Neodiprion lecontei: one gene and its partner. The protein of the gene in region 1 interacts with the protein of each later gene in a pairwise test. Links are inferred from orthologs where the notes say so. Each region holds a gene or a part of one and is shown in the gene's direction. Other genes may lie near its edges.

What was found.
Region 2: the proteins of 26S proteasome non-ATPase regulatory subunit 4 (region 1) and UV excision repair protein RAD23 homolog B interact in a two-hybrid assay, tested with the Caenorhabditis elegans proteins (3 studies listed by BioGRID). The link is inferred for Neodiprion lecontei from reciprocal best matches to the Caenorhabditis elegans genes rpn-10 and rad-23.

What each region holds. Positions count from the first base shown.
Region 1 is NC_060262.1:20,521,356-20,526,223, reverse strand, and holds 26S proteasome non-ATPase regulatory subunit 4, read left to right. Parts: upstream 1-2,072; 5' UTR 2,073-2,087; coding exon 2,088-2,143; intron 2,144-2,244; coding exon 2,245-2,385; intron 2,386-2,490; coding exon 2,491-2,602; intron 2,603-2,892; coding exon 2,893-3,267; intron 3,268-3,341; coding exon 3,342-3,624; intron 3,625-3,795; coding exon 3,796-3,986; 3' UTR 3,987-4,148; downstream 4,149-4,868. UniProt on the Caenorhabditis elegans protein: Binds and presumably selects ubiquitin-conjugates for destruction. Required for protein degradation and ubiquitin-proteasome system (UBS) function and regulates proteasomal subunit expression. Involvement in UBS might be cell type specific.
Region 2 is NC_060260.1:33,127,235-33,134,806, reverse strand, and holds UV excision repair protein RAD23 homolog B, read left to right. Parts: upstream 1-2,017; 5' UTR 2,018-2,158; coding exon 2,159-2,224; intron 2,225-2,333; coding exon 2,334-2,406; intron 2,407-2,615; coding exon 2,616-2,775; intron 2,776-3,280; coding exon 3,281-3,451; intron 3,452-3,540; coding exon 3,541-3,860; intron 3,861-4,160; coding exon 4,161-4,468; 3' UTR 4,469-6,871; downstream 6,872-7,572. Other genes in the region: cell cycle control protein 50A, read right to left, coding at 207-1,037, 1,481-1,532.

The sequences.
Region 1 (4,868 bases):
CCACGTGACAAAGGAATCCCAGGGAAATACCCATAACCTAACACATGCAAACTCACCAACGTTGCCGAGAAATGGAAAAGTTACTTGGAAGTCTCTGCTTAAATCTGTAAAAAAACAAAACACGACACTTGAATTAATTTAGCAAATAGGCTTTTTACTTTTCAGATTAATTGCTGTCTATTTTCATATTTATGCATCGCATGTCATGCAAGAACAAAAGTTCGGCTCTAAATGACCGCCTTGAATTATCAATCAATAATTAAAATAAGTATTGTTACCTGGAATCTGGGCTGCTCCACACTTTTACACGTAGTAGTTCTTGTGGCATCTCAGGTTTATTGGTGAAGCGACGCACTTTTTACATCATACAGATCTTCACTAGTCTTTTATAGTCTAAAAATCCACACCACAATAACACTCACAGATTCTACACTCACTTTTTGTGCTGTTGCTGTCTGTTTGAACCATATAATGGTTTGAACCGACTGAATAATCGTGCTAACAATGCAACTGCGCATTTGCCGAAAAGAAGCCAAAAAAAAATAATAAAACTGACACGCGCTGCACAGAGACAAAATACACATCACTGAAATCTGAAGTCACACAAAACAATGAAAACTCCGGATACGAAATGCACCTTCGACGTTCGCGAGTTATTTTTATTGCAGTTACTCGGTTTTTATTCAGGCTACACGCTGCTCCTCGTGTATTATTCACAGATGAGAAAGGTGGAAATACACTGATCGAACAAGGTGACACAACCTGAACAACGCGGTCTAAATGTTGAACCGATGCTGAGAACGCATGATTCCGCTCCGATCGCTCGGAAACGACTGATGCTGCTTGGCTCTCAGAAATCTATTTGGAATTTTGCGATGTATAGTTAGATTGGAGTAGGCGTTATCTAGTACCCTTCGGTTTATCACTAGATTCTCGTACTGAAGTTAGGCGTGGTTAACGAGGGTTATGAAATAGAAAGGAAAGCATGTATTACCCGAGGTAACCTCGCGTATGCGGAAAGTGTAGCGCAGGAATGAAATGAGGATTCATGGAGTAAGAGCATTTACGCCATATACAACTTGTTTCTCTCGCTCTACAACCTGGTAGGCCGATACGTTTCCTCTCACAATCAGCCGATCACATCCAGAGTGAGTGAGACGGAACATTCAGAGTAGCCCGGGAATACATATCTTCTTCTCTTATTACTACGGCCACAGTTTTCACGAGGTTGATGGCATGGGTAGCTACCAGTCGTACATGTTCTAAGGTCGGATGCTACAGCAGTGTCAATCACTGAATATACCTATATTTTATATTAGCGCAAGTAATGCAGGTCGCTGTATGACAACGGGAACGTTGGAATACGGACCAGTATATTCAAGATGGTGCTTGAAAGTACGATGATATGGTGAGCGGCCAAATATTAACGAATTAAGGATAACTACCGAAATATCTGATGGGGTTTGATTGACACCTTTGAAAACTAGTCGGACACCGGTTTTGAAAATGTGCATTATGTTCAAATTGAGCTTATAAGTCGGATGAGCGGCGCGTTGTTCGTTCGGTGTTTTTCGGAGTGACAATGCAAAGTTGAACGGCTTCGTGTCGCCGTATATAAAAGGCTTCTGCAATTCACCCTTCTATGACTTCACGCAAATTCTTACAAATTTTTACCCTACAATCAACCGCGCTGCAATTTATTCGGAAATCCCACTGATCCATTTTTTTCCTCACCAATCTACCTTTTTAGGTTATCTTATTCTCTCAAACGAACAATTTGACCAGGCGTGACTTTGGCCTAATTTACAGTCGTCTATTGGTTTCAACACTTTTCTTGATCCGTTATTTTTATCTCATCTCAACAGCGATGAGTAGATGTGAATCAAATTTTATTTACTTTGTACAAACAACTGTGACATTAAGTAAGAAAGCAACCGATCAGCAAGATGAAATGATATGTAAATACAATAGAATAGGATATACACACTTTTCCTGCAGTTTATTTGGCTAGCATTCATTGAACTACTTTCAGGGATTTTCATTATTTGAAGTGGATGAAAACCTAGATTAATTAAATTTCAAGAATCATGTCCCAACAACCCGATACAGCTGTAACCCATTGTCACATCTTTAGTTTTATCTGGTCATTCTCCATTTTTATACAAGAGTACTTCACAGTTTGCGAAAAATTTGCGACTTGACTTATTGATTTTATATTTAATATTGGTGATATATTCTTTCCAGTGTCGACAACAGCGACTACATGAGAAATGGAGATTTTCTTCCGACCCGCTTGCAGGCTCAACAAGATGCCGTCAACTTAGTATGCCATTCCAAGACCCGATCCAACCCTGAAAACAACGTAGGACTTATAACTCTTGCTAAGTAAGTAAAGTGCAAGTCAGAAAAAATATTTATCCTTGTTTTATTCCTCATCATCCATTGATTATCTGCCTTTGCTACAAAATTTCTTGGTTTGCTTTTGTCTAGTGTTGAAGTATTAGCCACGCTGACCAGCGATGTGGGACGTATTCTATCCAAACTTCATCAAGTACAGCCTAATGGAAACTTGAGTCTGATCACTGGCATCAGAATTGCTCATGTAAGCTATTCTTTCAGATTGTGTTTTTTGCCACTTGAAAAACATAGATTTATTCCATATTTTTTCTTATCTTATGGATATGAAAAAATAATAGGATAATGCTCCACTAGTTGAGAACCTAAATAGAGTATTTTCTGCAGTTTGCATATAACGCAATTCCAACACACAAGTCTAGCCATTTGCAAAAGTAATTCTCACAAAATCATTGTGAAAAAAAAGTATTTTACTGAATTATTGTACTTACAAAATAGCCCAATTTCTTGGTCTCAAGTTTATATACCATATTTTAGCTGGCTCTGAAGCATCGCCAAGGAAAGAACCATAAAATGCGAATAGTCGCATTTGTCGGAAGTCCAATTCAGTTGGATGAAAAGGAGTTAGTAAAGCTTGCCAAGCGTTTAAAAAAAGAGAAAGTGAACGTAGACATAATAAGCTTTGGCGAAGAAACAATCAACAACGAGGTCTTGACTTCGTTCATAAATGCTTTGAACGGCAAGGACGGCACTGGCAGTCACTTGGTAACCGTTCCACCTGGACCCCACCTCTCAGACGCTTTGATATCCTCACCAATAATCCAGGGAGAGGATGGAATGGGGGCAGCTGGGATGGGCGGTGCAGCATTCGAATTTGGTGTGGACCCCAACGAAGATCCTGAACTGGCGTTGGTACGCGTTAGAAGCTACAATCAAAAATGGATTTTTTTAGTTCATTCGTTATCCACCTTATTTTCTGGTATCAGGCACTTCGTGTATCTATGGAGGAGCAGCGACAGAGGCAGGAGGACGAGGCTCGGCGAGCTCAGGCGACTGACACACCTGCTAAGCAGCCAGAGACCATCAAAGAGGCTCCTAACGAGGAAGCGATGCTCAAACGCGCCTTGGCCATGTCCCTTGAAGGGGCCGAAGATACAAGCTCACCGGCAGAAGCCGTTGTAACGACTACAGGAAACGTTCCCGACTTCGCGCACATGAGTGAGGAGGAGCAGATTGCTTTTGCCATGCAAATGTCGATGCAGGATCAACGTGAGCATTGCATTGTTTGGGCGCTTACTACGCGGTTCTTTTTCAAGTCATTTCATATTTTGTTCATTCGAATTCGGCGAGAAATATTTTGCACTGTTAAAGTTTTATTTTGTTATTCAAAGTGACGAATGACTGAGAAGAAAATGTTATTCAATATGCGAATATTTTCAGAGGAGCCTGAAACAGGAAAGGACGAGGCCATGGATGTGGAAGAGGATTATGCAGCAGTAATGTCGGATCCAGCGTTTTTGCAATCCGTACTTGAAAATTTACCCGGAGTCGATCCACAGTCGGAGGCAGTTCGTCAGGCAGTCGGTTCCTTGCAACAAAACAAGGATAAACAAGATAAGGAGAAGAAATGAGGGATATTGCTTAGATGAAATAAATATAATAATACTTACCTAACTACTATAATGAAAAGTTCATTTAAGATTATTTGATACTCGTTAAGCCACTGTGTAATGGTTTATTGTGGAAGCTTCGATATGATAATGAAATACACATCATCGATTTTGTGGAAATAACATTATCACCTTTTTCGTTATTTTTTCGAATTGCTGGTAAAAAAATAAAAGTTTGAGTAAACTAAAGAATCGTTATTAGAACAATAATGATAACAACAGTACCAGTCTCAAGTGAATTATAAGTTCATGTTTGTTTTAAAAAATTGAGCATAAACAATGGGATACATTTATAATCATCTATCGCGTGTTGTCATTACCTATAGTCTTAAATAGCACGTGATTTCAATAAACAAGTTTATAAATATCGATTTTATGCACGTAGCCAATCACCAGTTATAGGGCAACTAAATATTGCACAAATATACGGAGTAAATTTAAACTAGTCAAATTTCTCAGACGTTGGTTCATTTTATTCGTATTGTTACCAGGATAATCTTCTTAACTCAAAACGGCAATATTTGGTAAAAACCATGTGAACAAGGTTTTAAGCACAAGAAGATCTATTTTGAAAATTTTACTATCATTGTTCTATGAAATTAATTATAGAATTATTGTTTTTATTAAATCAATAGAAGTTTCGTAGGAAATTATGCTTTCATCAAAGCTGTTATGGCTAAGATAGGCATACGAGGGAAAAGTGAATCAAGGAACATTACATGTATTCTCGTCCAATAACGACCACAGGTCTGAAATAAAGCTATTCCCTTGAAGTTTATAAATTGAAAATTTCTAGTAATATAGACGTAATACAATTTTTCTTGCCGGGGCGTCCTTAATGTA
Region 2 (7,572 bases), on another chromosome or scaffold:
ATATATATCAACTATATATCAACAAAATTACGCATTCAGAGTGGCCATAACCTGTTATGTACTTGATATTATTTTCAGCAGGTCTATCGAATTACCACTTTGTAAATGATTCTTTACAGACCATGTGATAGGATAGAAAATAGTACCAATAGCGGTGATGAGTATCGGAGTATTAGTCCTGCTATTGAATTATTATCATTACTTACAGTATTTAACGATGAGGCTGTAATTTCCACGAACTAATCCTCCCTTGAAACTGTCTTGAGAGTGATCAATTCTGCGATACAGTTTCCTGAAACTAGGAAGGGCTGCCGTTCTCATCCAGACAATTAGGTCTTCATTTTGAAATCCGTTGTTGCTAATATTTTTTGTATCCAATTCATAAATAGCTTTGGACCAATTTTTTGGTTTTGCATAGTCCTTGAAAGCGTCTTCCAAAGTATCATAACCTTTAGGATTTGCGAACTTGATGGATTTATCAGAAGGCCAAGCTATGCCATAATTCAATAATGGAACAAAATTCTGGTGCACATGGGACCAAAGAGTCAACTCGTCACTGAACAACGAATTTGCTATTGCTCCACAAGGGGCTATAGGCATTTCAGTGTTATTTACGTAAGAATAAGCAAAAGGTTTACAGTCGCTGGATGGTGTCTGACTTAACTGGCCCAATAGCTGGTTATCATCACGAGATTTAACATATCGTCTATGATTCTGATAAAAATTGGTCAGGCCATAGTACATATAAACGTTACCACCAAATTCGTTTGTCAATGTGAAGTTAATTTCACAATAGCACACAGCTGAGGAATTCAAAGCAATTATGTCGGCACATTTTGTTTCGTTACCAGAAGCTGAACTATTGGAAATGCAATTAGTGTAATCGATGGAATGTTCCTTGACCTCCTCCGAAAAATAAAGTAATCCTATGCCAACTGGTATGAAAGCTATTCCTATTACAAAGAATGTTGGAAGAACTGTTCCAGCTGTAAGAATTGGTTGCCACGCAGGGAGCCGTTGCTGTTTGAATGCACTATCTGAAAACCAGAAAAAAATTTTGAGTCATTTCATTTTGCAATAAATTTAATGAATGGTTTTGCCGTATCTGGCGAATGTCTCCCTCGGCTCGTGTTGTCAGCGTCAGCACACCTTTCAGTATTATTACAGTTCAGTGTAAAAAGCACGTGTGTACGCATTATGACATGAAGAGCAATGTAAGGTTATGTTGCGAATCAATGAATGTATGAAGTCAACTACTAATACGTAGTACTATAGTGAAAATATAGATTATGGGGATCATTGCAATATGATAAGAGTGAGTTAGGGACACAGTAAACCAACGGACATTTCATGTATAAAATCAATAATGTGTCATGAGAATTATGTAATGACAGATTACTGCGTCATGTCAAGTAAATTCTTCGACAATATTGATCTTACGTTTGCCTGAACAGGTTTAAAAATACAACATCTTACTCACCGGATGGTTTTTTAGTCTTTGGCAAGACGGAGGGGTCCGTCAAGGTCGTCATTTCTTTAGAATCGTTAATTTTTTTCAGACTTTGACAATTCTCACGACCTCACTACCGCCATTTGCGATTGATGTTTATCCACTCGGTTTGTGTAAGGTTCGTAGGCCGCAATCACTGACCTCAAGGTGTGTGCAGAGAACTAGTCAACACAGCAATTTATTCAAGGAATTTTTAATGTACCATTTACCTTTCTTAATACATCTAATGTGAGGTATTTGTAATTAGGATGTTTGCCAGGGAACGGTGATAATTTCTCTGTCAACCAGCAGGCAGTTGAAGCGTTGTACCTGTATCTCAAGATGAGTTTTATGACTTAATACGGACTCCTGATAGTATTGGCAGAACTTGATATAAAAAAGAAAATTAAAGTGACGAATGAAATATTTTTACTCTCTCAGCCCTTGCGAGACGCGCGCGTTCAACGAGAGCCGAGCGGGTCACGATTTCCTCTTTTCATTCGCTTTGGATCACGTCGTTGAAAAAGGTTCATGGCGCTCACGAGCTCCGAGTGCCGAATCATCAGCGCGAAAATATCTATCAAAACATAATTTTATTTCGTGAGATACACAGGATACTTTGCCTTAAGTAGTAGTAATTAACGTAAGCGTGTCTGCTGACGATCCAAAATGATTATTACGCTTAAAAATCTTCAACAACAGACGTTTACCGTCGAGATTGACCCCTCGAAAACGGTGAGTAAAAACTGCATTAAAGTGGCCGAAAATGTCTTTTTTTTTCGGTTTCTATTCTAAAACCCTTAGTTGCTAATGAAAATGTTACTTGTTCTTATTGCTTATTCAGGTTAAAGAATTGAAAGACAAGATCGAAGTTCAGAAGGGTTTTCCGGCTCAGCATCAAAAACTCATATACGCGGGTAAGCCAATTTCTCTGCCATAACCTATCTTTTTTCAATTCTTAATGTCATCATGCTTTTATTGTCTGTACATACATACTTTACCATATTCTGGCAACCTCCGATACGTGACTCACCAAATCTTTGTATTGCTATTTTAAAATTTTTATTTTGGAACATAAACTGTTACTGATGCTGCAATATTCCAAATGCATTTCTTATGTGTGCAGGAAAAATATTGACCGACGAGCAGCCTTTAACTACCTATAATATTGACGAAAAAAAGTTTATCGTGGTTATGGTAACGAAACCTAAGGCTGGCGCTGGTCCAAGCACTAGTGAGGAACAGCATGCTGATGGTGACAATAACAAAGAACACACAGCAGCTAGGTATGATTGCCTGTGCTAATTTAAACATAAGAAACATTTTGTAAATCATAGCATTACAACAGATATTTTCTGATGAAAGAATACTTTCTCTAATCATTTTTTCATATATTTACATTGGGTAATACTACGTGTGATAATTCTGCATTACGATTAAAATTATTCTTCATTTGTCGATGTTTGGGAGTTGGAGAGTAACGGGGAAAGGAGACAACACACTCAAAGAGCATGCGAAAAATAGAATTTAATTGGTGAAATTCTGTTGAGCAATTTATCAGTATTTCTATGCATTCAGTTTACTCAAAATAACAGGATTGTTTGGACCTTTTTTTTATGACTAATAAGAAACACCCTTTTCAAATTTGAGTTAACTGAATTAAATGTTTCCGATTGTTCAAGTAAGTGCAGCACAAAATTCAAAACCACTCATTCTGTGTAGGATTAACTAACATATGTAAGTTAACAATTTGTCGAATAGAAATTGACCAATACACGTTTACACGTTTAGCCCAGCAACCTTGACTACGACTCCTACGGCTGCAGAAGATGTTCGTCCCCGACCACCACCAGTTGTGCTTGACCCACCTGCAGCAGTGGCACCTACTGGAGCTCAGGCAGAAAGTGCTTTGTTGATGGGAGAAGAATACAATACAATGGTCAATAATATTATGGATATGGGGTCAGTAGGAGCTACATATGGAATCAAGTTTCATTTAAATATAACTAATGTGAAAAAAACAACTCACAGATTTATTTTAAATTGTTCAGGTACGATCGAGAGCAGGTTGAACAAGCATTAAGGGCAAGTTTCAACAATCCTGACAGAGCAGTAGAATATTTACTCACTGGTATTCCAGCTCAGCTGTTTGAGGACCCACCTGAAGACCCTCCTGAAGCCCAGGACCAGGCTCAGGATCCCTTGGCATTCTTACGCACCCAACCACAGTTTCAGCAAATGCGCCAAGTGATTCAACAAAATCCGCAATTACTAAATACTGTACTGCAACAGATTGGACAGACCAATCCAGCCCTACTGCAATTGATTTCACAGAATCAAGAAGCCTTTGTTCGCATGCTCAACGAACCTGGTACTTTTGAATCTTATGTCATTTCTATTTCCATCAAGGTGGAAAATTATCCTTGAGCATTGAAAAAGTAGAGTTTTGTTGACGTTCTTGCATACAATCACTTGGTTCATCCCATACAAAAAACTTTAAAAATCTCAAAATCAACTAAGGAGTGGCAGATTCAGTCTCGCAGAAGTGATCATTTGTAGTTATTTTCGTTGCGCGTTATTGGTAGCTCTCATCTAAACTTATCTAAACTATGCAGATCGAAATTATATTTTGAACACATAAAAATTTAGTCGATGTTTTGTATTTGAATAGTTGGTGCTACCGGCGGAACAGTTCAAGGAACGCCAGCAGCAGCGGCTGCCGTGGCCCAAGGAGGACTTACAGGTGGTACGGGTGCCGTTGCTGGTATTGGTGCTGGTGCTGGGGCAGGTGTGGGCGCAGGTGCAGGTGCGAGTCTTGGAGCTGGAGTGATTCAGGTGACGCCACAAGACAAAGAAGCAATCGAAAGGCTGAAGGCACTGGGATTCCCTGAACATCTTGTTGTTCAGGCTTATTTTGCATGTGAAAAAAATGAAAACCTAGCGGCTAACTTTTTGCTGTCGCAAAATCTCGATGATTGAGAACCCATACTTAGGGGACTGTGTGTCACAGAGTTAACAGATGCTAGAGACAAGAATCAACACAATGGCTATGTTGTCAATTAATCTCATCATGCATCTAATCCATGAATGGCTTTGTTGCTAACAATTCTCTGGATGTTGCAGACAAAACAGCCATTCTCATGTAACGTCCTTTGATAAATATATTTCTCTTTCATCTAGAGATAAGGGAAGTATATTATGTAAATTTCTTATTTTGAAAAGTAACAATTCAAGTAGTAATCTTACATACCGATATTGAGTCTTTCATTACTTTAGAAGAAAAAAAATTGAAAATGTTTTTAGTAGTTACTTTTTTCACTAGTTAGTTCGGTGGCTCTGTTATAATATTTTATGTGTACAATGCAATACAACTTTTAAAAATTTACAAGATAATACACCTTAAAATAGACGTTGATGTGATACGTCTATATTATCGGTTGTATAATAATACATAACACTTCTGAAAAACGAATATTAATAACAGAGCCAAAACTAACAAATTCCTAAAGCTAACAGTCCAGATTAAATTTAATAATGCAAAGAGAAAATTCGTAATTCGAGACTTAATTTTCTCGTATAATGTTATTCACAGTCAAAGAATTGAATTTTATTTATGCATAGTCAAACGATAGAAATTCTTTTGCTTTGTATACTATAAATTGCGAACCAAAAATGTAGTAATAACATTTTTCGAGGACGGATGATAAGAGTGACAATTTAAGATAACTAGAATTTGTTTAATCTTGTTTAATAAAAAAGTTAGCCAAACTGTTGCACAAAGTTCAATATACTCCTTTAATTTGTAGATACAATTGACGCCATAATACAATTGGGCATTTTCTTAGAGATGTAGCAATATACCTGCGCACAAAACTTTCATCGTCCAACGAAGCTTGTCGAAACATCGGCACAGAATCGTCGAACACCTTAGTGGGCTTAAATACGGATGGGTAACACAATTCACTACAATGTGATAAGATGTTACTAGGGAGAAACTGAGCTGAAATTGTAAATTCGAATATCCACTTTGGCCACAAATTTTTTCACTTATGGTGTTTCTCTTAAAACTTCTTATACACCGTTGTCTCTAAAGTCAAGTTACTCTGTGACGGTCACAAAATTAAGTTTTCATACCAAGAGATGGTGAAATTGCATTTTTGTATAGGAAAAACCCGATAAAAATATATGGTGTGTGTGTGTCTATATTCATAGACATACATATATGCAAATACACACATGTATAGACTCACGAGAAAGAAGTGGAGCTTTTTTGAAATGTAAGGTTCAAAAATGAATACCAACTAGCAGCCATTACAGTACGCAATACTTTCTTCATACAAAATCACAACACCAACTAAACTATTGCCTACAAAGAAATCACAAGGTTACTAAATTAGTTGGAGGTGCCTCATTTGCTTAAATGGAAATAAAATTATTAATTAAATTAAATGGCCCGCATATTGCATTGCAATTGGCCAAACAATAATTGCGAATAAATTTTTAATGTGAAGTTATGAGACCTTTTTACGGCAAGTCTTGGTATAATGATGGGGCGGATGGAAAAGAAATTGGACTACAAATTTGTTTTTTGATAAAAATACAGTACAGGATTGTGCGTAAACGTTGACAATTGGCTGCAGTTTCTTGACTTTACACGTTTACCTTCATCGTTTTGTACGTATTATTACTGTCTTACAAAAAAAATTATACTTTCTCCAATTTCATAAAAATTATGGCAGTTGATTCATGATAATGATAAGAATACTTCTGTTATGACACACCCAAAACACCTTGTAATACTTACATAGCATAAATAAATATGTTAAGATTTTCAAAAACGTTTGGTGCTTTATATACTTTCATCCACATACCGTTGTTTATTTTTATTAATTTTATTATTAATAGTTTACGTAACACGTCTAACAAGTATAAACATAAGACACGCTCTGAATTCCTGCAGAAATTGAAACTTAGCAAGAGCAGTGCATTGGACGGAAATTAGATGAACAATTCTGTGCCTAATACTTCTAGAAAATTATGAAGCAGTTATTTATTTTATTATTATTTGATATTACATATGAAAGGCGTATTTACTGGCAGTGTGCGTGATACGACTGATGAGCAAATTATTATAAAACCAGGAAATAATTGAGTTTCAAATTTACCTGATTCAACCCTTTGTTTTCCATATTTTACAAAAGTCTAACATTGCCAAAACTTGCTGAATGTGTACCAAATAATCTGCAATATCGAAGATTCGAAATATGAGTATTTTGAATAATTCCAGAATTTATTTTGTGTTAGTTTGATTCACATTGAGGTTTTTGAATATTAGATAGTGTAAAATGGTTCTGTGCGGTTGGACTGAATGCATGAACAGTTTACCAATCTGAAAAATACCTGGTAGTATTCGCATTGTAAATTGTTCCAAATATTTGAATTGATTAATTGTTCTGGCACATAAAGCGTAACAAAACTAACAACACATTAGAAGTTGAAACAAGAAAAATACATGAAACCGTATTGAAGTAAAAATAACTAACCGTCACTATTAAATAATTACCTGTTCATTTGAATAATATTTATGTCAGAAAAATTGATGAATAGGTATCAATCAGATATAAAAATAGGCAGTCATTTTAATTTTCAATTCAAAAGGACAAAGCAAATCTAACAAAGATGAGTAGAAAACAATTCTGTGAAAGATATCGTGGGCAATTTTTGTGTGACATAAACTCATTTTTCTGTAAAATACCTTTATGGTTTGCAAAAACTACATGTAACTAAGCGTTATCTCTATAGTCATACAATCAACAAGCTATATAATCAATGTTTAACAATAAATATAATTTACTGTAGGTACCATTTCATTGGGATAACTATGAAGTAAAATACTTCGATATAACTAATATTTCTTTTTTTTATGTATAATGGCAGAATATACTATACACATAATGTACATTTGGAGTTATAGAAAGACATTTTTCTATATTTAATAGCCAACAAAATTTATAACATGACAATCGAGACGTAATAGAGCAATATATTTCCAATGAACGAAATATTTGTGCTTTGCACTTTTT